Lepisosteus oculatus: one gene and its partner. Each later gene encodes a partner of the first gene's protein in a complex. Links are inferred from orthologs where the notes say so. Each region holds a gene or a part of one and is shown on either strand. Other genes may lie near its edges.

Region 1 (12,751 bases):
TCAGTGCTCTGAATTTACAAGGAAATTTAAAATTAATTAAAATCAAAGTATTATGATGCTAATCCCTTACCAAGAAGCATCAAATATATATATATATGTCACTTACTATATTTCCTTAGTTGAAAATGTTCAGGATGATAATTAAAAATTAGCTAATTGGATGTAAGCCTGGTCATAAAGCACTTGGGTGTAAGCCAACCTCTCTTCAAACCATTTACAGCTAAAACCGAAGTGATGCATCAGTCTATTCATATCAATGCTTGACCTATCAGTAGTCAATGATCACTGATAGTCTTCTACATAAAGGTTTTATCAAGATTTCTGTCTAAGCAACTGACGTGCTATCTTCCTTTTAAGTTAACAATTTGTACCGATAGAATATTATGTGAGAAGCCGTCAGTATAACCCGGTATAATTTAGTCAACATGTAATCGACTGTATTACATCGGTACTCTTCAAACTTATAGGATATAGATTAACTGAAGTCAAAGTTAAAACATGAGTCAAAACTCAAATCAGAAATTGTTGGAGGCCACTTTAAAGTAATACATAACCCCAGATATGGCCTGTCAGTGTAACCCTTTTCACACTGGTACACACTCATGTATACCACCTGTCAAAAGTCATCCAGTTGTTGCATGAAAAACAGGCAGTGGTGGGTCGTGCTTGTTCAATGGGGGTGTGGATTCTAACGTGGTTTTCTTGCCAAGAAACAAGCCTGTTTGTTGACTTAGCACAAGAACTTGAAAGGACGGACTAACCACAAGAATCTCCTACAAACCTGTTTTGTCCAGTTTACCTGTTCTAGGCTACAAAATAGCCTTGAATAACATATAAAAAGATCTGATTTACAGACAACTGCTTCTATTAGTTCAAAGTACACAAGACGTGGTGTGAGAGAAAGGTTTATGTCTGAGCAGACATGAGTACCAGCTATTGAGAAAGAAAAACAAATATATATTACATATGTATTTTATGGGTTGTTCTTCTGTCAAGCTAATTTATTACAATACAAAATCTTCTTTGCTTTTTAAATATCTGTAGAACTTTTACTTATGTTATTGCATTCATTAGATTTAGTAAATCTGCTCCTGTACTTTCCAACAAGCTGAATTCCTGGCATCAAAATAGATCTCCATCAAAGCTCGCAGTAAGTGACTGTCCTGTGTTTGAAACATCAAAGGCAGAAGAAACACATCTTTCCAGGGCATCAGGGATTCCAGGGTACTTCTCGCATTTTTCAACTGAATTCAGATTTTAAAATGAATCTGAAATAAGGAGCCCCAGCTCTCTGCTTCACTTCATTTCTATTGAACACTTTTCTTTGTATGGCCTGCATGGAGATGGACTGTTAGCAGATCTTATCAGATCACCTCTCTTGGAAGAAGATAATTTACCAACGACCTATTCATGCAAAAGTATCGAAGATAATGGTGGAATTTCTTAGGTAAAAGAGGAAGCAAGGGCACTGAATGAATATTTCCCCCACAAGTCAGAAACTGTGTTGAGTTAAAACACCCACATTCCAGCTAAATGGAACAGTTCTGTTCAGAGAGACGTGTCTGGGGCTCTGGACTCCACGCAGGAAGTTTGTAAGCTCAGATTCCAGATGAGTGGGAGAAGAGTACACTGCTGTTGAACCCTTCAGCCTGGTACTTCAGCTGAAGTACTCCAGTAAAATACCCAGCTGTATAAATAGGTGCAAATGTAAATTGCTTTGGATAAAGGTGTGAGACAAATAAATTAGTCTTATTTTCCCAAATCTAAATGCGAATGAGGGTCTACTTAAATAAAAAACAACTAACGTGACCAAACTTCTCCAGCTAATTTTTTTTGTTTAAACTAAATAAAAATACCATTTTAAATGTCTACAGAATGAAGACCGTAACAAAAACAAAGTAATAAAACGTTCGCAATTCACTAAAATAAAGTACAGCCGTTTAACATATAGTAAATGAATTGTAATAGGAGGCACACGGTTGAAAGTTAAATACCTGTATTAACGGTCAAATATTAACTCGGTTAATCAGGCATAACCGGTTCTAAATTGTTTCTTGGGTCTGCTCAGATTTCCCTTAAGCACTCAACCAGAAATAACTGCAATGGAGGCTCCATCAGTTCGGAGTGCTGACCTTCACTGAACAAAATCTAGAGAATAGCTCAAACAGCATATCACCATGCTGCAAATGCTTGAATCTGCCTGGTACGTTCATGGCTATTTATTGAAGCTGCATCTGATTTAAGAAGGAAAATAGCATTCTCTTAGCTGCGAAAACAGTTTTTTTTCCCAGATTTCCACAAAGTTATATATATATACACGTTTCTAAAACCAGGCAGTACAAGCTGGTTCTTTTCTATGCTGCTTTTTAGGAGAAATGTGATCATATGATGATAGTATGATAACACTGATTTAATTGCCTATACAGTATTCAAAAACATCACGGTCTTATCTAAGATTGAGACGAAAGGTGCACAGTTCTCGAAAGGAGCAGTTCTCTCAAATGTTTAATTAAAGCAGGAATTGAAGCACTGGATCCAAGATATTTTTGCATTTATTTCAAAACTGCAAAATCAAATCTAGAACCACTGACTCATGCAAACACATCCTGGTCCACAATTAACAGAAATTTAGATGCTCCTACTCTCCATTCAGAGTTTGAAAATAAGTTCAGACAGCTGTCCTCCAGTTAGCTGAAGCCCTGTGTTACATCATCTCCAGTCTCGTGCTCCCAGGAAGCACAGAAGGGATGAAGTTCCTGCGGTCCATTACACAATTCCATTTTAAGGTAAACTGATGGTATTCAATGACTGTAACAAATCTTTAAAATTTGTACATTCTTTATAGAGCATACCGGCCATTGGTTTCCCTAAAACTCAAAGATTCCAGATGGGCATGGCCTTGCCTGTAAAGACCTAGAGAACTTTTGAAATGAAAGCTGCTTATATATTGCATCTCCTTTTTCTGTGTAAAAAAACAAAACTTGGGAAACATGCCTCAGGCATATATGCTTACAGCTTTAAATCCATACATTAACATTAAATGAGAAAATTATTTCAACAGCTTAACTGCACAGACGGACATACTGAATCTTCGCATGACTAAAGATGAGTGAAGATAAACAGCTATAAAAATCAATTGAATTAAAACTAAGTGCTTGATTAAAAACTCTGCAGACTTACAACTGTGCAGAAACATTGCACTCCACACCCAGGTCTCATGCTCCATTGATATGGATCAATAATAGATCATAGTGATGTTCTTTGGCTGAGACAATTTTAGACTCAGAGCAAATAAAGACTCCCTGAAGCAAATCACTTCATTTAGGCACTAAGGTCCTACTTGACTTTTTTTAATCAATAAAATATATTAAAAAAACCTTATAAAAACTGTCTTTGTAATACATAGAATTTAATGAATGTTAAAAAATCAACAGTCATTCTTCCCAATGTTGCTCTTGAAGCACTAGCAGTCTAATCACAAAACTGCTGGATCACCTGTAAAACATCACTCCTTAATGCAAATCTTATTATATACAGTAATTGGAATGTATTTAGAACAAACAGAAATAAATACAGCTGGCATGATGCACACCCATCATCAGTAATTCCTATTGAAAGGATGGATGCACTAGCATTCTCCAGTCCAGTGAATGCATATTGACATGGCATTTTTCAGTCCTGCATTCCAGTCAAAACAGACTAGATGGGTCAAATGACCCCTACTCATTCATAACCCTTCCTGTGTCCTTGCCTTACAGACGCTCAAGTACTATCTGACAGGCAGACCACAGTCTGTGAGACTGCAGAACTGTGTGTCTGAACAGGTAGTAAGTAACACAGGAGCTCCTTAGGGGATGGTTCTTTTTCTGTTCCTCTTCACCCTCTATACTTCGGGCTTTAAATACAACTCAAAGTCATGCCACCTGCAGAAGTCCTCAGACGACTCTGTAATTGTGGGATGTATCAAGGGTGGACAGGAGGAAGAGTACAGAAGACTGGTCAGCAGCTCTGTGGAGTGGTGTGGGGAGAATGTAACAAAGACGAAGGAACTGGTGGTAGGTTTCAGGAGGAAAAGGGTCAAACCTACTCCTGTCTACATCCATGGGAGAGGCGTGGAGATAGTGGACTCATGCAAGTACCTGGGAGTGCACATCGACGATAGACTGGAATGGTCTAAGAACACGAGGCCATCTACAAGATGGGTCAGAGCTGACTTTACCTCTTGAGGAGGCTCAGGTCCTTCAATGTACAGTATGAAGTAAGATGCTACATATGTTCTATCAGTCGGTGGTAGCGAGCACCATTTTCTACGCGGTGGTATGCTGGGGCTCTGGGATTAGAGCAGGGGATTCTAACAGGCTGAACAAGCTCATCAGAAGAGCAAGCTCAGTCATTGGGTCTGGCCTGGACCCACTGGAGGTAGTGGCTGAGAGGAGAATGGTGTCCAAACTAGAGGCCATCATGGACAACGTCTCCCAACCCCTCTATGACAGGCTTGTAGAAATGAAGAGCACGTTCAGCAATAGGCTGATCCATCCACGGTGCAACAGGGAGCGCTACAGGAGGTCATTCTTGCCTTCTGCCATAAGACTGTACAACTCATCCACCTTGTGTCTGGGCAGAGGCAACATTGACAGTGACCTGTGTCTGGACTGAACAGTAAACTGATACATGTGTTCTTTTTCTTTTTCCCATTTATAACCGTTTTTGGGCAATATATGCCAGGGACCTGTGCAATACATTTATATTTATATTGTGCAATACGACTTTTTTGTGTAGTTCTGTTCTGGTCTGTGAGTAACTCTTCTTAGTGCACTTCTCACTGTACTGATTGTATTGTACGTATTGTATTATTATTATTGTATCATTCATTACACTGTTGCTGTGTTGTCTGTGTTAAGCTGCTGTTGCACTGCAATTTCCCTCACGGGATCAATAAAGTATCTATCTACTTACTTTATGGTCCCAGATGGGAAATTTGCTTTGCAGGAAGCTAAATGACATAACACAACATAAAAAAAATAACTTAGTTCTATTTCACTTGAACCTAGCTAGTCTTAATTCACATCTTAACGGGAAGAGCTCAAATTTTGCTGGCTACCTTCACAATCGTGTTCATATTGAATGTATTAAGGTTACCAAACCTGGGTTACCCACTGAATGTTAGGAGAGATTCAATACTCAAGGGTTTCAAACATGATCTTAAGAAGAGAAGTATCATCACAACTATTAAGGAGCTAGTACATTTATAATATTTATAATGTTGCTTAAAGCTTCATTTAAAAAAACAAACACCCTGGTTACTGTCACGGTGGTAATGGACTTATAATTTTGTAATAATTTGTTCATTTATTTCCATTGAAGGCCCTCAGGAAGCCCTGTAGTTATGCAGGACAGATGACAGGGCTGATTAAACGACATTTTCAGCTAGGATGGGACTTGCACCATTCTTATGAGTTAAAACCCATCTGCAAGTCGAAATGTAATGGATTGCTAAACTGAATACCCTGCTAAATTATTAATTTTTAAATAAGCATTACAATAAGTCCATAGTATTGTTACAGTACATAAACAATCGTGATTTTTTTTGCACAGCGTTGTTTATTGCTCTCCATCAGTATTTACCCATTTTTTGTTCATTTGGTTTTGGCCTCTCTTAATTCATAGATCTTTCCAATTCTCACAAATTCGTTGCAGGAAGTCAGTAAGGCTGATCGGCGGTGGAGACTATCTGATCAGGGGAAATAAACACATCGATTTGTTTGAATTTTGAGGAAACATGAGCCAATACCCGTCTCGAAGTGTCCGGGGCCTTCTGCCTAGAGTACGAAAGTCCCTGTGTTAGTTCCACTGACAGTGGGAAGCCGACGCGCTCGGTTCTTCAGAAATCTGACCTTAAATGATTCGTTTGAGACGCCATGATTTTATTTGCCGATTAAGGATTGTTATTTATTCATAAAGCCTGTGCAAAACAAACATTTGCATGCTAAAGCATTCCAAGCTCAGAGGAAGGTAAAGCTAAACCTATACCTTCCAGTTTTAATCTAGGTAGCATGCCATACGGAAATATAATAAAAAAGCACCCTATGTCAGTCAAGGCAGTATCATTTGCAACAATGGCTTCTAAAAAACTAACACAGTGTTGCAGTGACAAAAGTTATGTGCAAACTACTTTCCCGGCATGTCTATAGTGTCATATTGCAGAACAAAAGCAATCAAATATTTTGCATTTTTTTTTTTAACAACAAGGAACTCGATGCAAACACGGTCTTGCTGAAACTAGAGCTCAATGTGCTACTCATCGTTGTTTTAAAAACGATTATCACTAATGGACACGCAGCCTGAAGAGACACCCACATTTCAAGAGACAAACATCAATATCAACGATAAAAAATCTTACCTCTGCACTCTGATGTTTAAAAGTATCCAAAAAAAGAAGCTCCATTGAAGAGTCCGCAGCCATGTTTCCTGAATACAACAGGATATACTTCCGGGTAAAAGGAACAATAACATCCGGCTGTTAAAACTCGACGTCAATAGTGTATGTGCGATCGGTTATTTTTACAGTTCTGTGTGCTCACTCAGCTTTCTAAAGACTGTTTTCAATAACATTCTAATTTAGCAATTTTATCAGTTAATATGTTTTTCTGTCATGAATATATTGTTTTAATACAACACAGGTAATCAAATAAACTGCTGAAAAGTAAATAAAGGTCCAAATACAGCTGTTTTGACTGGAGAAATAACGTGACTTTCATTTAATTCTGATTTAGAATTCTAAAGGATATGAATAGGATGAGTTTCTCACAGGAGAACAAGAGCCAGTGATATTAATGTCTGTTTAACAGCAAATGCAAATCTAAAAATGTCAAATTCTGGTGTAGATTATGAAGAAGGAAAAGCAAGTTGTTCTTTATGGAGTGACTAGGACTGGTCCTAGAAAACTGCAATCCTTAGAAGTTAAACCTCTCATTTCTAAAGAACTGAATTTTTGTTTTTGACCACTTAGACGCGTGATTTGAAGTGAAAATACCAACACCCCCTGGATCTGAAGGATGACAGCTGGCCACTCTTTGTTTAAATTAACTAATTAACTAAATTGATCAAAACTCACATGTAGGCTTTGGTCTTTAGAAACTGATGATTTAAGAGTGACCTATAAGACCTGTTAGATCATGGTTCAGAAAGACAAGGTTGGCCTCCCTTAGTGTATGTAAATCCACTGTCAAAAAGCCACTTCTCTTTTTGGAGAGTCATAATTTACCAGAGCCTATCTCAGAAGCTGAATACAAGGCAGATAATGGAGAAAGAGACCATTAAGAAGAGCCAGTCAAATCCTGGTCGGTTTGTCAGTGGGCGGGTGGCCATGCCACACTTCTTCCAAGGAAGATTGTCCTGTCTCACAGTAGGATTTATGTACTGTACTTTGGTCATATGACAAAAGGCTTTAATTCTGACTTCAATCTTTAATCCTAAACCCGACACCTTACTCACATGGGTGTTTGATCCTATTTGTTTGCTGTACACTGCAGACCAAGCTGTTTTTTTTTAAATGGAAGTAAATTTATCTACAAAGTGGTACATGTGTTAATTTACATTGGTTTGGCTGATCAATTTTACAAGCATGTCTGATCAGCACCGTCATTTTCTGATTGTAGGTGCTCTAAAATTGTTTGCATAGTATTTTTAGTAAAGCAAATGACACTCTTTCACTTCTCTTTAGTAAATGTAATTTTTCACAAAATGTTGTCAGTTTTACTGTCTTCATTTAAAAGGGACACTACTTGCCTCCTGTTTAGTGCCTGTATTTTTCAGCAATAATGAACCACTGAAATAAATGCTTTACACTAAGGTCAAGCTCAGCTTGCAATATTTGCCTCACATTCAGTGGGAGTAAAATATTGTGATTTGCCTCAAACTATGGATGATTTAATTTTTTCTGATAAAATCAGGGATGCTGTGCATTAAGCAATACCATTAAAAAATAAGTAATAAATAAGTTCTAAATTCTAAATTTATATGATTTTTTTCAGCAATTAAACAATAACGTATTGCTTCAAGAGTTTGTCATTTATGTATAGTGTACTTATGTCTTTAATATATAATGTTTTCTGCATTTTTTCGTATTTCATGATACGGAGCTATTTGTGCATGGGGCTATAGTTTAGAAGAGGGTTTAAAATCGAGACGTTTCTTAGAAAACATATAAGAATGAAATGCATACGTCACATAACCTAAGTAAATTAACATTTATAGTAGTAGCAAGTAGTAGCTTTTATCATTAGGTCTGCAACATGTAGTAGACCGATGGCTGCTTCTGTCATGCAAGGACACACCCGGTAAACACAAAACGTTATTCAATTTCCATATCTCTGTCTTCAGATATATCTGCCTCGTAATCTCACTGCACGTGGACTAAAAGCTACACTTTTAATTTCTGGAATTTACTTTAAGAGAAATTCTCATTTGATATTCTTATAGACCGATACTGGATTAATAATTGTGACGCCTTGACGAGTACCCGGAGTTTGTAGTTGTTGTTTTTTTTATTTTTGTAATTGCGTATTTTACATATAACCCTCAAAGCATTCATACTGTATACACATATGCAGTACTTATATAACTAGATACATTGTCAGATTTAAACTGTAATTCCCTTTCAAAGGCATTTAAGGTCTAATCTTGTTTAGGTATAGTATATCATGTTTATTTGAAAGTAAATTAATTTGACATAAATACTGTTTATTAAATCATACGTTATTTGAATTTTACCAACTGCCTGCTGTTAATTTTGTAAGACCTTATTTCTTCAAAAACTATCCTTTGATTCTGAGCTTCTCTTCTTTAAAATCGTATTAATTAATATGAAATCCCCTAGCATGAAAGGAAAGAGTAACTTTTTTAGGATTGTTTCGTTAAAAAAAACAAGTACCGAGCTTAATAGGTCATTAAAAACTCATTTTAAAATTGTTATTCGGACAGAATGGGTTATAAGTTACGAGGTAAGAGTCATTAAATATCAAAGCAGTTAGATACCCGTACGAAATAATTTGTAATGATACACTGAAGTTAATTTATTTTATCATCATATATTACAATGCATTTTATTATTATAATTTTATAAAATAATAAAACATACACTATTATTTCTCTGTTCTTCTGTATACAAAACTTCTGTCGCTCCAAGTCCTGAGGCGAAAGATGCTTGTCTTTCTCTGTGCTAGCCACGTCCCTGTTTAAAAGCACCAATAGAATAGAGCCCAGCACAAGGCAGGTATCCATTACCTGAGTCACGTGGGTCTCAGACAGGTAAATGCACAAAAAATAGTGAACGTTCAGCCATTACGAGGCTATGAGGGGGGTGCTGCCTGTTTTACATAGGTTCTCACGCAATCGCCAAAGCCACTAAATACCTGAAGCCAGTCAAACACACCTAGCTCTGGACACATAAGGTGTCTGTAGGTGTAGGGTTGTTTCCTCTGGTTCGTTTTGGGGGTGTTGTTTTTCTTCTTCAGTAGGGTTTTCTTTCTTTTAGGTGCGTTTTGTTTACTTTTTTTCTTTTGTTATTTTTTCCTGTGAACAACATGACGGCAACTTTTGATTATTTGGTGATTTTCTTTACTACGACGTCTGGTGCCAATGGGGATAAACTGGGATCTGATGAAAAGGAGTTAATTCATTTGGTGTGGCAAACTGTGGATCTGGCGAACAAGAAGGTATCTAGGAGTTTGTCCTCTTTTGCCATCCTTTTTTTTTCAGATGGTGTGCTTTTTACTATCCAGGTGAACCCGAACGACTGTTTTCAAGGGCGTTCTGTGAAGACGGTGCCTGTAAAAAGTGATTTCTTAAATTCCACTCAACTTTAGACCAGGAATCTACTATATACATTCATTTTGCAGTTATATTGCCAGAGTGAAATGAAAACATAAAACGCGACGATGAAAGCCATTTTAGTGCCTAATTGTCCTGTTTGAGTAACGTGATTTTTGTCTAGGGGTGAAAACGCGATGATATAGTTTTGTACATCATAGTATATGATTATTAATGTATCCATTCATATTTTAAATTTCTTCAGACGGGAAAAATTCACGAAATTCTCGTTAAACCCGAAAATTTGGAACTGACCGATGAATGTAAAGAAGAGAGTGGAATTGGAGAGGAGTCGGTTTCCACTGCACAGCCCTTAGAGCACGCCTTGAACCAGGTGAGCAGTTCCCCGAATTTCAGGCCCCTCGAAATTCAATTAATTAATTGTTTATTGTTTTAAACTATTGTGGGTGTAGTGGGTGGCCTTGTCGGGTCTCTTTTTTTTTTTAATCGGGAAGCTATATCACTTTCTTGCAAACTTAATTTAGAAATTATGTAACCCCATTTGTGTTGTATTGCCGATAATTTGTTTTGGGAATTGGAATATTTTTGGAATTTAGTTAAGAAAATGCTTATGTGATAGTTTTCGGAAGAGATGTCGGTAATAGAGGAGCATTCCACCAGCAGTGTTAGTATCTGCTATTTTTTAAAGCTCATACAGTCATGTGAAGGACAGGATTATAATCTTAATGCAAATATTTGGATTTGAATAATGTGGGAATAGGCGGCCATTATGTGCTGTAGTATAAAGTGCTTTTTACTGCGAGTCTTTGTCCGAGTAAACATACATCGACTTCTGAATTTAACTCTTGTAGTGTCTGTCGAGTTTTTGACACAACGTGGAATTCTTAGCCTGAAACTGAGCTGATAATTAAACTCGGATGAAACGGTGTCATCTCACCTTGGCCTGCAGTCATTGACATGTTACTGACTGAATGCTTAGGTGGCATAAAGTAACAATAGCGAAAATACTTTTACTTCCAGTGTATTACATTCGTTAATAGTTTAATGAAAGAAGCAAACAGAGCCTTATTTCTAAAGCGGTATTGCATGTTCTGTGTTATTTTGGTTTTACAGAGGTCATCTCCGGCAGTGCTCTTCAATTTCCTTATAAACGTTTTTTACAGGCAATGTTAGAGTACTAAAGAAAATAGTTTGGGGTTCTTCGGATATAATTTACAGGATTAAGGAAACGTTAACCCTTGCAATTTTTCAGCAGTTCTTTTTTTATGAACTGTCTTATTAAGAGATATTGAAATATTTGACCATGGATTGACATTTTTATTGCTTTTCCTTGGGAAACTTATGCCTACCAGAGCACATACTGTATATTTACATGCCCACAGTTAATGGAACTGAATGTTCCTTTTCTGTTCAGGTTAATCAGCATCTGTGTAATGAAGTAAATATTGGCGTGAAGACATTCTGTTTATGCACTGATGGCCAACTTCACATCAGACAAGTCATCCACCCAGAAGCATCCAATAAGGTAAAGGTCTCTCCAGCACACAGAAATGCTGGGTTTGGGAACATTGTAATAAAGGTATTTTTTTATTAATCTGACCATTGCACATGAGTCTAGAAAGATGCCCAAAATTCTTAATAACCTTTTATTTCTAAAGGCATTCAATGTCTCCATCTCTAAAGCTGGAAACATGCTTCAGTTTTACAGTCAAATACTGAAATGGAAAGAATTTGCCGGAAATCCTCAGAGGTGGGTGGAATAATTTAGTCTGAAGTACCGGATATTTCAGATGTCTCCACAGGAAAAAAATCACTTGGAGATAGACCAGTTAAGGTCAGCCAAGCCAGTCCTTATTAACGGACGTTGGAGAGCCTGTCCTAAAGAACTCCAGGGAGTGTTCAGCTTTCAAGAACTGAAAAATTGCTTCTTAAGTTGAAATAAGGGGGAACATCAGACTTTGCAGATCCAGAGTGGAATTAAATCAGGATATAGGGGTCAAAACAGCTACTCTTTTGAATAAGAATCTTCAATGACCAATAACTGCAGCTCTTCCAACAGGTTGTCTGCCTAATATGAACCTCAATCTCTATGAAAGTTGCAATGGTGCAGTTAAGAAATTTCATAATTTACTCTTTTTTTACAATGTTTTTTTAAAAAACATTCTGTAGGATCTCCTCTTCCAGTCCCAGTCCTTCTGCAGCTCAAATAATATGATGTTGTGAAGTTCAGAGCTTGTAATGGACAGATTTAAAAATCACCTTGCATAATTATTCATCCATTTAAGTCAATAGGGTTAAAATTCGGTAAACTGGGTTATCTTTAAGATTCTGAAAGTTCATGTACACTGTGGTTCAGAATGTAGCCTTTCAAATTCACCTGTCAACCTGTTAACTTGGCTCAAACTTCTTAAAGTGTATTTAAGCTACTCTTGAAGGGCATGTTTTATTAAGATAATAGTTAGCAACACAAGACAAGCTTTGCAGTTCTAATTGTAAAATGAGCCATCCAAACATATCTAAAACAAAACGTTCATTACCCTTTAGAAAAATGAATATCCTTAATACACTGATGTATAGAATCTATAAATGTAATGCGACTATTGATAGATTTTTAAAAAATAAATTGCAGATGCGAATATAACTTTTGTTTTGGTGCAAATAGCCATGAGTAAAACCTGTACATGTACCCAGTGAATGTATTTAAGTTTAATTTGTACTTTTAACTAAAATAATGTAAAAAATCTCTTTTATACAGAATATTTTGCTGCCTGAATATTTCTATTCCTTTTTTGACCTTCGGAAAGAATTCAAGAAAAAATTCCCCACCTCGCCGGATCTGAAGGATTTAAACATTCAAGTTATGGCTGACTGTATCCTTCCTTGCATCTGAACCTGAAATTCCAGGTGCAAAATGTTTGAA
Region 2 (13,135 bases), on another chromosome or scaffold:
TTATATTTAAGCTGGCACACCTGAATGAGGGCAGTACTAACACTCACTAATTAACACAGGATTCATACCAATTACAAATCTCATTCAGCTTTTCAAGAGCTGAACACAAATTAAAAAAAAAGACTTAACAAAGATGGAAATAAATTAGACTTGGATTACCTCAATTAACTGAAACAAAACGAAACAAGACAATAGTGTATACCAGAAATGAGAACCACTGATTTAAATACTTTCTAATATTAAATGCTCGATATGCATTCACTCATGACTATCATAAATTAGTACATTTTGCTTAAGCATTTCAGGAGCTGCGCCTAAACGTGTATAAAAAAGATAAATATTTTAATCTCTATCAATTTACTAAAACATTCTTTTATATATCAGCACTTGAATTTGTGTATTAAACTTACATGGGAGGGGTATTTGTTGTCGCAATCAATTCATCTTTCAATCTTATCAATTCCCTGAGTTTAGGATACTCTTCAAATCTATCAGCAAGACCTGAAACAACAGGACAAATGTAAATCCGAATCAATTTCATATACAATAGCCTCCAAATGTATTTAAATCCTCACCTGTAATTATAAGGTGATTTGTCATGAAAACCAAAATATACACTCCGATAGAAACAAACCCCAAGACCAAAACTAAAGTCATGACTTTCATTATCATATGTATAAATACATCAGTCAAAAACAGCTGTATATATTGCCGAATGAATCAAATGTATTCCTATTAGAGCAATCGGTATTTTGCAGTCCTTAAGCCTTTAACCAAGAGGAAGTGTTGCCAGTAGCATTTTAATTATAAGGTTTTTAAATTACTCCTGAAGGATATTTGGCCACTCCTCCATGCAGGACCTCTCAAGCTCTTAACATTTTCGTCATGTTGTATGATGTATGCTTTGTACTGCCTTAATGTAAAATCCACTTGTAACCATGCTTAAGCTTGAACAACAGAAAGCACCAGTTTTTTGTAAAAATATCCTGGTAAGCTTTGAAATCCACCTGTTCTGCCATCCTAACGGGAACACGAGGACGGTGCCAAATAACTCTTAATGCAGAACAAAGCCATTTCCACTTTTACTTGAAGAGATAACATTCAACACGAGCTTCATTCTTCCATGCTAATAATACTCCAGATGAGACAGTCCAAAAATGTAATTTACATTTCACACAACCACATCATGTGGTTCCCTTCAGCTGTGGAGTCAATTATTTTGTTTAGCAAATGTGTGTCTTTTTATGTCGCCAAAGAACGCTACCACACGCTCCAGATGCAAGATGTCATCTGCACACTGGGGTAAAATTTTCTTATATCCTGTTCCTGGTAAAGTGACAACCACCCACTTCAACATCTTGGATCTGGAGAGCACAGTTGAAACCAAGATGTCTTATGGAATTGATTAGGTCACTGATCTTTTAACTTAGATCTTGAGACAATGATCTCATTTTCACATGTTGAAATGATACAGAATGTTTACTTCTGTGTTCAATTTCCTTTGATACCTAAGATGTTTAAAGTTTAAAGCATTATATTTTCATCTTTGACACGGTGTTTATTTAGATATATCTAACATTATTTTGTGGTGAATTTGTGTAATGACAATCATAAATTTACCATGTTTTTATTCTGAAATGTTAAAAAAATCCTAATGCACATCTTTGCTTGATCAACTTGATATGAATACATTTTGAGGGTAAGGTAAAAAGAACAGTAATCCATAGGTATAATTTACATTTTATTGGCAGCACTGCACAAACCAAACATCAACATTATCAGTAAGTGTAACCAACTCGTTTTAAAATAGAAATATGAAAAAGAAAAATTAAAAAGCTATGAAGAGAAAAAAAATTATATACGCTTTAACTTCAGATATTTTACATATTACATACCTACATCGCGAATGAAATTTTGTGGTCTATGACCAGTATCCACAAAATGTTGGCAGTAGTCATTATGAGGATTCAGGCTTTGAGTTCCCTGAAACAAAAATTGGTCAACTTAGTGTCATCGGAGATACTATCATTTTTTCAAGTGACTAATACATTATGCTTATTAGCACTGTATATAGCAGTGAAACGCACAGCAATTTACAAGCAATGTAAGATATAAATAACAGATCTAAAATATATTTAACAGAATCTAGATGTTTTAATTGTACTACTTGTAAAGTGATAACACAAAACCCTCTTTGTACGAAGACATATTGTCCTTGAAACTAATCTGAGGAGCCCACCTTTAAAAATGTACTAGAATCCTTGTACACTTCTTCATATGGCACATTTTCATCAGGCTGCTGTTGCTCTACTTCATCCTTGCAAATAATAAAAGAAACTTCAAATAAAGGTAAAGAATGGAACATCAAATTAATGGAAGAACAAAACACAAATTTAAGGATTGTGATTTAGTATTGAGGAGTTGTTTTGGTATCCAGGGATCTGTCATATTCAAACTGCGCAGGTGGCTAGAAAGATGTAACGCAGCACATATTGTTTTCCTTATTATTTCTTATCCAAAAGTAAATTTTGTATGATATTTTTGCAAACGACCAACATTTTCTCAGAAGAAAAAAAAGCAAAGTCCAGTTAAAATACAAACACCCAAAAGCACTTGACATGCAACCAAAAAGCAAAACATGGCAAACACATTCTAGCTAAAGCGATTTTAACAAAATTCAGATTTTAACAAAACAACCCCAGTAAACCATGAAGGTGTTTTCCAGATTAGTCACTTTCTGTCTCTTGTCTATCTTTAAAATACATAACCAAAAGAAAAAGACTGTCAATGTTACCTTTTGCTCTTCAACAGCCTCCTCAGGGTCTTCTCCCTCATTCTGACACTTGCGTTTAGTAGAAGGTGAAGAAGTGTCATAAGAAGCCCTTGGCAGGAGAAAAATTCATCAGAGAAAATATTCTAGAGTCCTAGATCTTTGTAAACTAGACTCAGGGACAGTAAAGGAAGGCATTGAAACAATGATTACGCTAGTCTTGGCAGAAAGACTGTCTTAACATTCAGAATATCAAAGAATCAGGAAAAGGAACAGGTCACTGCATACAGAAATAAAGACATATATAGAGTATATATATATGAGAGTCAGAGTTCAGTTTACAACAACAAAGTTAAATAAAACAACTTGAATAAAACTCAGCATCCGTGTGAATCAGTAGATGTTAAATTCGATAATCTGACATCATGGAGGAAGAAAGAATGTTTTTCAATTAAACGGGTTAAATGTCAGACTAAAGAAATGCTCGGCTATCAATAAATATACTATTGATTAAAACATTAGGAAATACAAAAATCCAAACTTGTGAGGCTTATTCTAATATTTAAGAACAAAAAGATAGAATAATAATTATGTAGGACGATACCGAATTGGATCATCATATGCTCCTGCCAATATTAAGAACATGTTCAATAAACAAAATAGTATAGTTTTTGGACAATCATGTTAGATGTTATGTTCCCAAATAACGGTACAATAATAAACCTAACAAAGTACCTTTGGGTGCTTATTAAACTATTTATCCAAATGTAACCAAATATGTTTTTGTCAAACATATTTCTAGCCTGGCAAATATTTGTAGCAATTTTTGTACACAACCATGAAAGTGTTTCTTTCTTACCTGCATGTCTCTCTGGTTTCTTCAATTTCTTTCTGTTCCTCCTTACTGTTCAACACTGCACCAATGCTATCTGCACTCTCAGCTCCTAGCTGTGAAGAACGGTATAAATACAGTATATTACCTTAGCAGAATTTGTTCGACTGTGTTCTTTTGGATTCAGCAAATTGATATCATGGAATCTTTCAATCTTCCAAAATTCCAATTATGAAAAAAAAAGTGCTCTAGGATAACAAATATAGGCCCCCCGTTACAAGTTGCCACAAGTTGTTGAGATGCAAAGGAAAAAACTCCCCTCACACAAGTAAAGTGTTTTCAACTCAGTGATTTTCCATTAGAAAAAATCTTACATCTTGTGCATTGTTGCATAGCTGGTGGTGAATGTGAGTGACAATGGCAACTTTTTTTATATTTAATCTTTTTTTAGACAAATATTACGTTAAATCAGACGACATGAACAAAATCATGATTTCACTATATGTAATGTACTTTTAAAATAAGAACGTTATGAATTAAATTGTATTGGGCATGAGCTCCATTAACATTACCACAATCCTGACAATACTTGACCAGTTTTGGGATACAGTGATGTATGGTGTTCTTCCCTTTTCTATGCACCAACCGCCAGCTAGGAAATGCTGGAGGGTTTGTGTTTGTCTCCTGTCCATGGCATTAGCAATTTGCCCCCACACATGTTCAATTACACAAAGGTCAGGAGAAGAAGCTGTCCTTGGCAAGATCTTGGACATTGTTTTCTTGAAGTCTTGCCACAGTAATCCTAGCCCTGGATAGTCTTTCATTGTACTGATGGTAAACTTGACACCTGGATTGGCTCTTATTTACAGAAAACCTGTCGTATCAAGGACCTTGTTAATATATTGGTCTGCATTAATCTGCATCCAAGACATTTTTTCATTGAAGGAAATTTCACTTCTACTACCCCCCAGATTGAAAAATGCAATGTTAGCAATGACATCCTCTCGCATGTCTTCTGGCAGGTCTCTGAAGGGGAAAAATGGTTTCATCCACGATTAAAACTGTCCATCACTCTCTCGGTTGCCTCCACAAATGTGCTCCGGCCCACAGAAGACAGCAATTCTGTGTCTCAGCCATCGCTGTTACTCTCAGTGACTTGAATGGAGTATGGGGATCATTTTCATGCAATTTGTGAGCTAGTTATTCTACTGTGATATCTTCCTGGAATGTCCGTTGCTGCTTCTCAATACAGTTTATTAACAATTATGGAGATAGATCAGATTGATGTGACTGTCCTGGCCGACATAGTGAAAATCCACCCCCCAGGCCTGCATTTTGGTTCCCCTTTTCTCTGGACTAGTGAGCCGATTGTTGAAATAGAACATCTCATTCTCCAGGCAACTTCTTTTACTGATAGGTCACCTCCAATCACACCAATAGCAAACATGCTGTCTTCATTTCTCAAGCAGGCCATGGTCAGATATTTCATATTCTGACATTAATTATATTTGTATTTTTGAACGGCGGTTGGCGCAGATTCGTAATCAATTTTTGTTTGCAATTTTAACTCGACTCCAATATCAAACTCGGAGCACCCGATACTTTTAAGCCACCACGTGATTTTTTAAAAGTTTTTTGTTGCAAAAAAGAACAGCACTTCTCACGTGATCAACAAATCATTTAAGTTAAATGACGTAAAACTACAGTACGTTTTTACTGTTCATTAGTTAAACCATTTAAAATGTTTAATTTTATAAACAAGATAAATAAAGCAAGCAAAAATATGATAACATGTAATCTCCACTCAAAAAATTTCAGCATTTATTAACGTCAATTTACATTGGAATTAGGTGCAATTATGCCCCCACAAGCTTGTATCGATTTTATTCATTATCTATTTATTCATTATATAATTCATCATTAAAACAGAACTGGAACGGTAAATATTTATCCAACTCCCAAGGGCAATGCCGTAATGCTTTAGAGATCTGTATACACCCGCGAATTTGTGTTTTTTAGCAATATTGAATTTGATGTAATTTATCTCAACTCGCTCTCTTGTGAATCTAACTTCTCTACGGTTAACACCTTATTACGATCTTAAACTACTGACAAATAAAAATTGTTAACTAATCCCCTACAAAAATAATCCAAATCACATAATTCTGGAACACAATTTGAGTGGGAGCTATGCTATCTTTTGTTTTCGTAACGTGAACAAACAGCAAATGTTCTTCCTTACCTGCTGTGCTAAAAGCTGTCTTCTAAGCTTCTGTCTTTCCCTTATTTCTTGTAAACGGCTGTTCATTTTTTATCGATACCGAAGCAAAAGTTCTCAAAGAATGCCTGAATCCTCATTTAGTTCCAATTCCAATTCTTCCCTCCTGCGTTTCTTTCAGAAGCAGCACGAGTCGCGGATATTTTGCGTCATTTCCGGGTAACAGAAAACGGTGATTTAAAATGATGTTTCTTGGCTATTCGGTCATTTCACTTACCACTCAAAAAGGATAGAGATGCAAATATTGGCCAGTTATTTAAAAAAAAGAACTAAAAACTTTTTAAAAAACTAATAGATTTTAACAATATAGGAGATTGTAGGTATTTGTATAACATTCATAGGTTTTGGTCAAAACATAATGCACTTACAAATTATCCATGTAAGGGTACGTCGTCGAAAAAATAATAGTGGTTCTTTCATTTCAATATTACTTTTTTTATCCCCCTTTTATCAGTGTATATTGTTCTGTTGCGTGTACAAGAGTTTAAATCTCATTGCAGCGCAAACTGGCATGTAGACAGTAGATTGCCGTACGTCTTCAGCTGTATGCAGCAATATACAACAGATGCAAAACGGAAGAAGAAATTACAAAAGTATGATTTATGAACATGGAAGAACTTCACTGACGATTCGGGGTTCTGGAGAAACAGTTCTTTATTCAGCCCTGCAGAGGAGGGTGGTTCGCAAAAATCCAAAGTCTAGGAGGATTAGAAATTTAACAAAGTTGATATACAAAGGAAAATCACATATTCTGATAATTGTGTGGTTAACACAATTTATCTTTGTTAAACACAGCAAAGTAAAAAAGTACAAAACAAAAAGGTAATAAATACAAAACCAACCTTTAGCTTAACAACGTTAAGCTTAAATGAACCCGGGGCAACTGTTAATGGCAACACAGCTGTCGGCAGCAACAAGAAGTAGAATTCATAGCACACGATGCACATAATCTAAAATAATTTGGTCACTGTTTGAACTTTAAACAGTATTATGGATGTCTGCTGAATACTTCAGCAAAGATGGCATACAGTACATTTGCTTAAGAGCTGAATAGGCGGTATAGAAAGCTTAAATCATGAAATGGAAGCTTTTGTCATGTAACAAACGTGGTTTATAATTTGTGGTTTGTGATTATGAGTATTGTTACAATTATTACTCATTTTAACAAGACTGACAAATAAGACTGACGTAAACATTGATAATATTGTGCATTTTCAAAATGTGTTACAGCAAAAACAATACTGTCAGGGCACTTTATTTTAAAAATGATTGTAGTAATAGTGTAAATCTGCCTTATGAATGCCTATAATGTTATAATGATTACTAATGACAAGCAGAAGGTCATGTTATTATTAACATGTTATAGGAATAAAGTATTCAAGGTCTTGATTGCATAAATAACAATAGTCTTGAAAATGTTTATTAACAATAAACCACCTTTATTTAATAGTTTATGTGCCTTCTTAGGAGTAAATCACATGATTTTGGGTGAAGGTGTAATCGCTACATAGAAATACAATTTTTAGAACTTTATTCAATTGTAATGCTTATTTTTTTCTGACTTAATCAACCACATAAAAATCATAACATTTTTATTTTAACCGTTCTTATCAACTATAATAAATTTTATTTCAGTACAGGTATGACAAGTGATCTGCATCTGTATATTTTGTTTGAACGTTTTCATAACAACAAAGAAATCTATGCTCTTCTTAAAGTGTGTTCTTTAAATGACACTAGAAACATGTCCTAACATACATAGAAGTATGTCCTAATGTACTTCCTACAGGATAAAACAGTATAAAATGTTTTAGAACAGGATTGGAATTTCTTACACTGAAACTGAAACAGTGAGGTGTGTAAAGAGCAATTTTTCTCCACTTACTATATATGTCATACCTTTCTTCATCTCCTGCAATCATGACCTTGCTGTGGTGGAGGAGTTTGAATGCCACAGGGAGTTTACTCCCTGCTACTGAACTACTGTACTGTATGTTGTCAGGTGGATTGTGCTTCTGGTAGGGCTACCCTTGGCAACTTGGTCTTAGATGAGAGGCCAGACAAAGAACCTTGCACGCTAGACTGGGATGTTTTTCCATTACGAACTGAGAAAACCCTGCACAGACCATGGACGCCAGGACTCACCCTTGGAGCCAGGCCAGGTGATGTTGCCGGCAAACACCTGGTGTCTGGATCACCCACACAACTCAGCCAGGCTCAACTCAAAATGGTTACATGGAGCTGCCATGTGGGATTGCCACTCCCAAAGTGAAGGATGGGGGTCGGGTAATGAGATGGAGTGGGAAAGATCTGGATGATGGACTAGACCTTGGCACTGGAAACTGGCTCTTGGGTTGTGGAACATCACTTCACTGGGGAAGGAGCCATAGCTGGTATGGGAGGTTGAAAAGTACAGACTAGATATAGTCGGTCTTACCTCTATATACAGTATTGGTTCTGGAACCACAATTCTCAATCAGGGGTGGTCTTTGTCCCTCGCATGTCTGGTCTGTGTCACGGTCATCATCCCTCCTCTAGAGGGCGCTCCTACCATTCTTGTAATGTTCTTAGTTTTATTAGTGTTAGCTGTGTTTCATTGCCTCTCCCTTCTTTAAGCCCAGTGTTTCTGTAGTTCCAGGCTCAGCTTTGAAAGACTGACACCTGGAAGCCCACCTACCACTGGGCTCAGGAGTGGCCCGAGGGCAAAGGCTTCATCATGCCGTCCTTTCCTCTGAGTCCCATGCCCCATTATGCTTTTAACCTTTTGTGTTCCTGGTCCCAATTCCCTGTTCCTGTTTTTAATCATCTGGGTCTCCGATGGATCTCCTGGTTTCTGGATTTTGGACTGCGCCTTACTACCCCTTTAGACTTCCTTTGGACTTGTTTGCCTGCGCTCCCCCCATGCGCCAGATCACCTCAGTCACGGCCCCCTGTCTGTCATCCTGACCTTACCTCGCTGTGCCTTCCCTGACGCCTCCAGACACTTCCGGAATATACCGTCACGCATAGGGTCTTTTACAACACACTCCTCGGGAGTTAGATTCAGCTCCCGTGACAGTCTGAGTGGGTGTGGAGATACTCACAAGTCCCTGGCTGGGTGCCGTGCAGTTGGAATTTGTCATGATGGATGAGAACAAATACTGTACTGCATATTGCAGAGAGGAAAACTCTGACTGCCGTGCTTATGTACCGTGGGCACCACTTTCTGACTCCATTGTCCTGCTGGGAGATTTCAACATTCATCTGGGGAATGATGGAAAAACCTGGAGCGGCATGACTGGGAGAAACAGCATCCCAATCAACAAGTCACTTGCTCTCTCTGGGTGATGGGGTGGAACCTTAGTTTATCCCAGGAGGTCTCCCATCCAGGCACTGGCCAGGTTCACACCTGCTTAGCTTCAGTGGGTTGCCAGTGAGTTGCAGAGTGATATGGCTGCTGGCATGTGGTGAGGATTCCCCTGGGCACCTCCTGCTGGAGGTGTACCAGGCACGGCCCACTGGGAAGATACCCTAGGGCAGACCTAAGTCACACTGGTGGGTTTATATCTGTCGGCTGGCCTGGGAGCACATGGGAATCCTCTGGGAGGAGTTGGAGACTGTTGCTGGGGAAAGGGAAGTCTGGTCTGCCCTGCTCCACCTGTCAACACCATGATCTTCAACAGGAGTAAACTGTTAGAAAATGAAATGATTACTATTAGTAGAAGTACTGCAATAAATTACAACTGTATGATTCTTTAATATTATATAATAATATGCTTTCCTAGGCTTTTGAAATTAATTTTGCAGATATATACATTAAATAGGTTAATTAAAAAAAAACAAATAGAAATTGCTTAGCATTGTGTATGTTTTAGAATCTATTGGCATAAACTAAAGTACTTGAAGCCTCTGGCTTAAAAAAATGTATTTTTAAAGTACTTCCTAAAATTATGTGCTCTGTATTAGCGTTTGGTAGAGGTTAGGGCTCTGAATTATAGACTGGAGTGTAAAATTCTGACTGAGCCTCAGTTTTTTGTATCATCAAGCAAGATATTTCATTCAGGTCTGTCCAGTGAATTTAAAAGACATTATATTTTATTCTAACGTGGTAAGATATATTGTACAGTATATAAAAATGTAGTCTAAATAACCACGTTTTAGACAAATAGCCTGCTCTTTTGAGGTCGATTCATACAAAGGAGTTATTAAAATACCCACATTCTGTAAAGTTTGGGTTGCTTGTTAGAACAGAACACGTCTGTATACTCTACCAAACAAAGGAAGGCAAAGCAAATATCACAATTGTAAGGATGTGTTCTTGAGATGTGAATTTACAGCTAGTTGGAGTCGGGGGCGCTACTCAGCGATTTTGTGGCAGTGGCTGGAGGAAGAAAATGAATTGTTGGCAGTGCAAGTCAGGAGCAGTCAGCGGAGAAGTTTTTCAGTGGACTGATTTGGACCTATTATTTTTGCTAAAGAGAAAATCAGACATACAGATCTGGGAAAATTGATTTTTCCGTCGTTAAATGGACGTACATGACAAGGACATGGGGACAAGCTGACAAGCAATAAAACTATAATTTGGTAAATGGATTGATCACGGTTCAAGACTTAACATGGGTTGCATGCAGATGCTGTAGATAATGCAGCTGGCACAACTGCTGAAGCTGAAATGTGCGTCAGTGTTTTACTTACAGGGATTTTTCTTTAAATATTTTACTCAAATGAAAACGTAACCGGAACTGTACATATTTTGGAGGAATGTATAACGCAAATTAATTTTATTTTAAAGGAAGTTTATTAAATATATTTAATAAGTTAAACTTTATAAGAAAACATTTACCCAGACGATTCAGCAATGTTGCGAATTGTTTTTAAGCACGTAAACATACTTGTCTTCTTTTTGTTCTCCTGTTTCGTGTCCCGCATGTCATCTTATTTTTATTCATTTTGAAAAAGTGCGAAGAAAGCTCCTTTCTCAAAGTGAAAAAAAAAAAACTTAGTTCTCGTCAGGAATGATCAATATGCGGGAGGCGTATCGCTACGGGTTGTCTCTGGCACATCTGAATTGATCTACTTGAGTTATCTCCCGGTATTTTGTTCCTTCGCGGATTTGGATACAGGACATGTAATGATCCGATGGACAGGTTTATGAGATCGTGCTGCTCACAGATCCAAGGGCTTTAATTGATTGCAGTGGAGTGATGAACACAGCCTTAAAAGCACCATGAGCTGGTCAAGGTTTCTTGCAGTGATTGCTTCAGTTTTTTTCACCAGAGTATGCTGTTTTGGCTCTGATGTCTCATTCATTCTACCCTTTACCGACTGCATTCAGAGCAAAGGCAGAGCAGGTTACTACGACGGATCGATAGATGTAACAGAGTCTGGTGTTAAGTGTATGAACTGGAGCGATATCACCGGTTTCGAGGAGAGATACCCTAGAAAAGGACTGGGTCGCCACAATTTCTGCAGGAACCCCGATGGCAGGATCAGACCTTGGTGTTTTTTCAGGAACAATAGAGGAAGAATAGACTGGGGTTACTGCGACTGCAAACAAGGTAAATACAATACTTCAAACAGTTTTAGTACAATAGTATGTCTTGAAGCAAACCTCAGCTGAAATTTCCTTTGGTGTTTAATTGTACCTGGAGTAGCAGTAATAGTTTATCTGTTGAGCAGAGCTTTTAGTTTATTTTTATAGTTTTAAAAAAGCTTGCTACAGACATGAGGTAAAGAGTATCTTCAGATACTATTATTGTTGTTTTTTTTCTGTTTTTACCAAATTTTTTTATGCTAACACTCCGGCATCTGGTGCATGGAACAACATTTATATTTGCAAAGTTGTACTGATTTATTTTTTAAAAAGCAGTGATACTTTAGCTGTTTTAAACACGTAACATGTACAACAACCCCACACGGAAATGATCATATTATTTGTTTATTATATAATATTATATAATTATTCATATGAATACATATGTTGATTTAACAAGAAATATTTAAATACCAATTCTGTGTTCTTTGCGAGGAGGTAAAAAATTCAGATATTCAATCACAAGAATGAAGCACTGACATTTTGTATTTCACTATACTCATCACCTTTTTAAAGACACGTAATGAGGTTACTAGTGAATGCAATAGACTGAATACCCCAAACAAGCAAAATCAAGCCTTCACTCAAATTACTAAAAACATGTAAGTAACTCTTTTAAAAAATGAAATAGTAACTGTACACTATGATCTTATTATCTGATTTTTAAAATAATTTATAAGAAAAACAATTATTTTTCTTAGGCAAGTGGCTCAGATCTTCTTGCAACAGCTGCTTCTTTATAAATGACAACAGAGTCCTTTAATAAATGGCCTCAGATATACACTTCTGTTATTTCCCAGACTCTGTCAGGTGCAAAGGACAAGAAAAGCAAGTCCAAGCACATAGTCAACTCCTTTATTACAATCCTGAGTGAAGTCCAAGGTATGCAACTGTTGAAAATGCTGCTGGTTGTTTAAGTTTCACAGTTCTAAACAGAAAAAATATGTTTCAGCATACCAAAATGTTATATTTATTTGATAAAATATGTGGGAAGTACAATTTAAGATCTGTTTCAGATGAACAAAATACTCAATGAAAAGGGCATTAATAAAGAAAACAATATTTCAGGGTTTACTGTCCTGTTTCTCCCAGCTGTCATTGAAAATTTTTTTAATTACTGAAAACAATATTTTCCTCTAGATGCTTGGAAGCCTTATTTTTAAATAATTATTTCAGAAAAACAACAATTCAGATAAAGTTGAAATATTTTTATATTTTAAATTTGACTTAAGACATCTCTTTTATATGTAGGTTTGAAGCAGGTGTATTAAAATTTAGTTTTTACTTTTTCACAACTTCAGTTAACTTATTATGACAGGAATGAACAGTATATTTTCTCTACAACTTCAGTCCATTATGTTTATGATATTTGATTAATTAATGCAGCTACTTAAATTGCCTTGCAAAAATAATAGCAATTAAGTGAATACTTTGATAGCAGGCATTTCATTTAATTGTATTAACAGATATTCTCATTTCTTACTGACATCTTAACATTAGTTGAGCATTACTCTGTATGCATACGTGATACACTTGATATGTTTACCTTTCACCTTTTACTATTTAAGATTGTATTGCTCACACATTTTAAAGATGTATGTTAAAGAAATATGTCTTATTTGTCATGAAGATCTTATTATTTTGTAGTAATTCAGGTGGGTAGCTGCATCAGCATGCGCAGGC

Evidence for each region.
Region 2: virma (region 1) and mettl14 share a complex: the UniProt entries of both Homo sapiens proteins name them as parts of the WMM complex. The link is inferred for Lepisosteus oculatus from reciprocal best matches to the Homo sapiens genes VIRMA and METTL14.

The regions. Positions count from the first base shown.
Region 1 is NC_090705.1:7,599,862-7,612,612, forward strand, and holds the start of virma (protein virilizer homolog), read right to left. Parts: upstream 6,479-12,751; 5' UTR 6,464-6,478; coding exon 6,401-6,463; intron 1-6,400. Other genes in the region: esrp1 (epithelial splicing regulatory protein 1), read left to right, coding at 9,585-9,716, 10,076-10,204, 11,246-11,356, 12,587-12,701. UniProt on the Homo sapiens protein: Associated component of the WMM complex, a complex that mediates N6-methyladenosine (m6A) methylation of RNAs, a modification that plays a role in the efficiency of mRNA splicing and RNA processing.
Region 2 is NC_090696.1:11,927,057-11,940,191, forward strand, and holds the start of mettl14 (N6-adenosine-methyltransferase non-catalytic subunit), read right to left. Parts: upstream 6,035-13,135; 5' UTR 5,911-6,034; coding exon 5,845-5,910; intron 3,719-5,844; coding exon 3,630-3,718; intron 2,883-3,629; coding exon 2,795-2,882; intron 2,318-2,794; coding exon 2,240-2,317; intron 1,984-2,239; coding exon 1,896-1,983; intron 502-1,895; coding exon 411-501; intron 1-410. Other genes in the region: prss12 (neurotrypsin), read left to right, coding at 11,087-11,417. UniProt on the Homo sapiens protein: The METTL3-METTL14 heterodimer forms a N6-methyltransferase complex that methylates adenosine residues at the N(6) position of some mRNAs and regulates the circadian clock, differentiation of embryonic stem cells and cortical neurogenesis.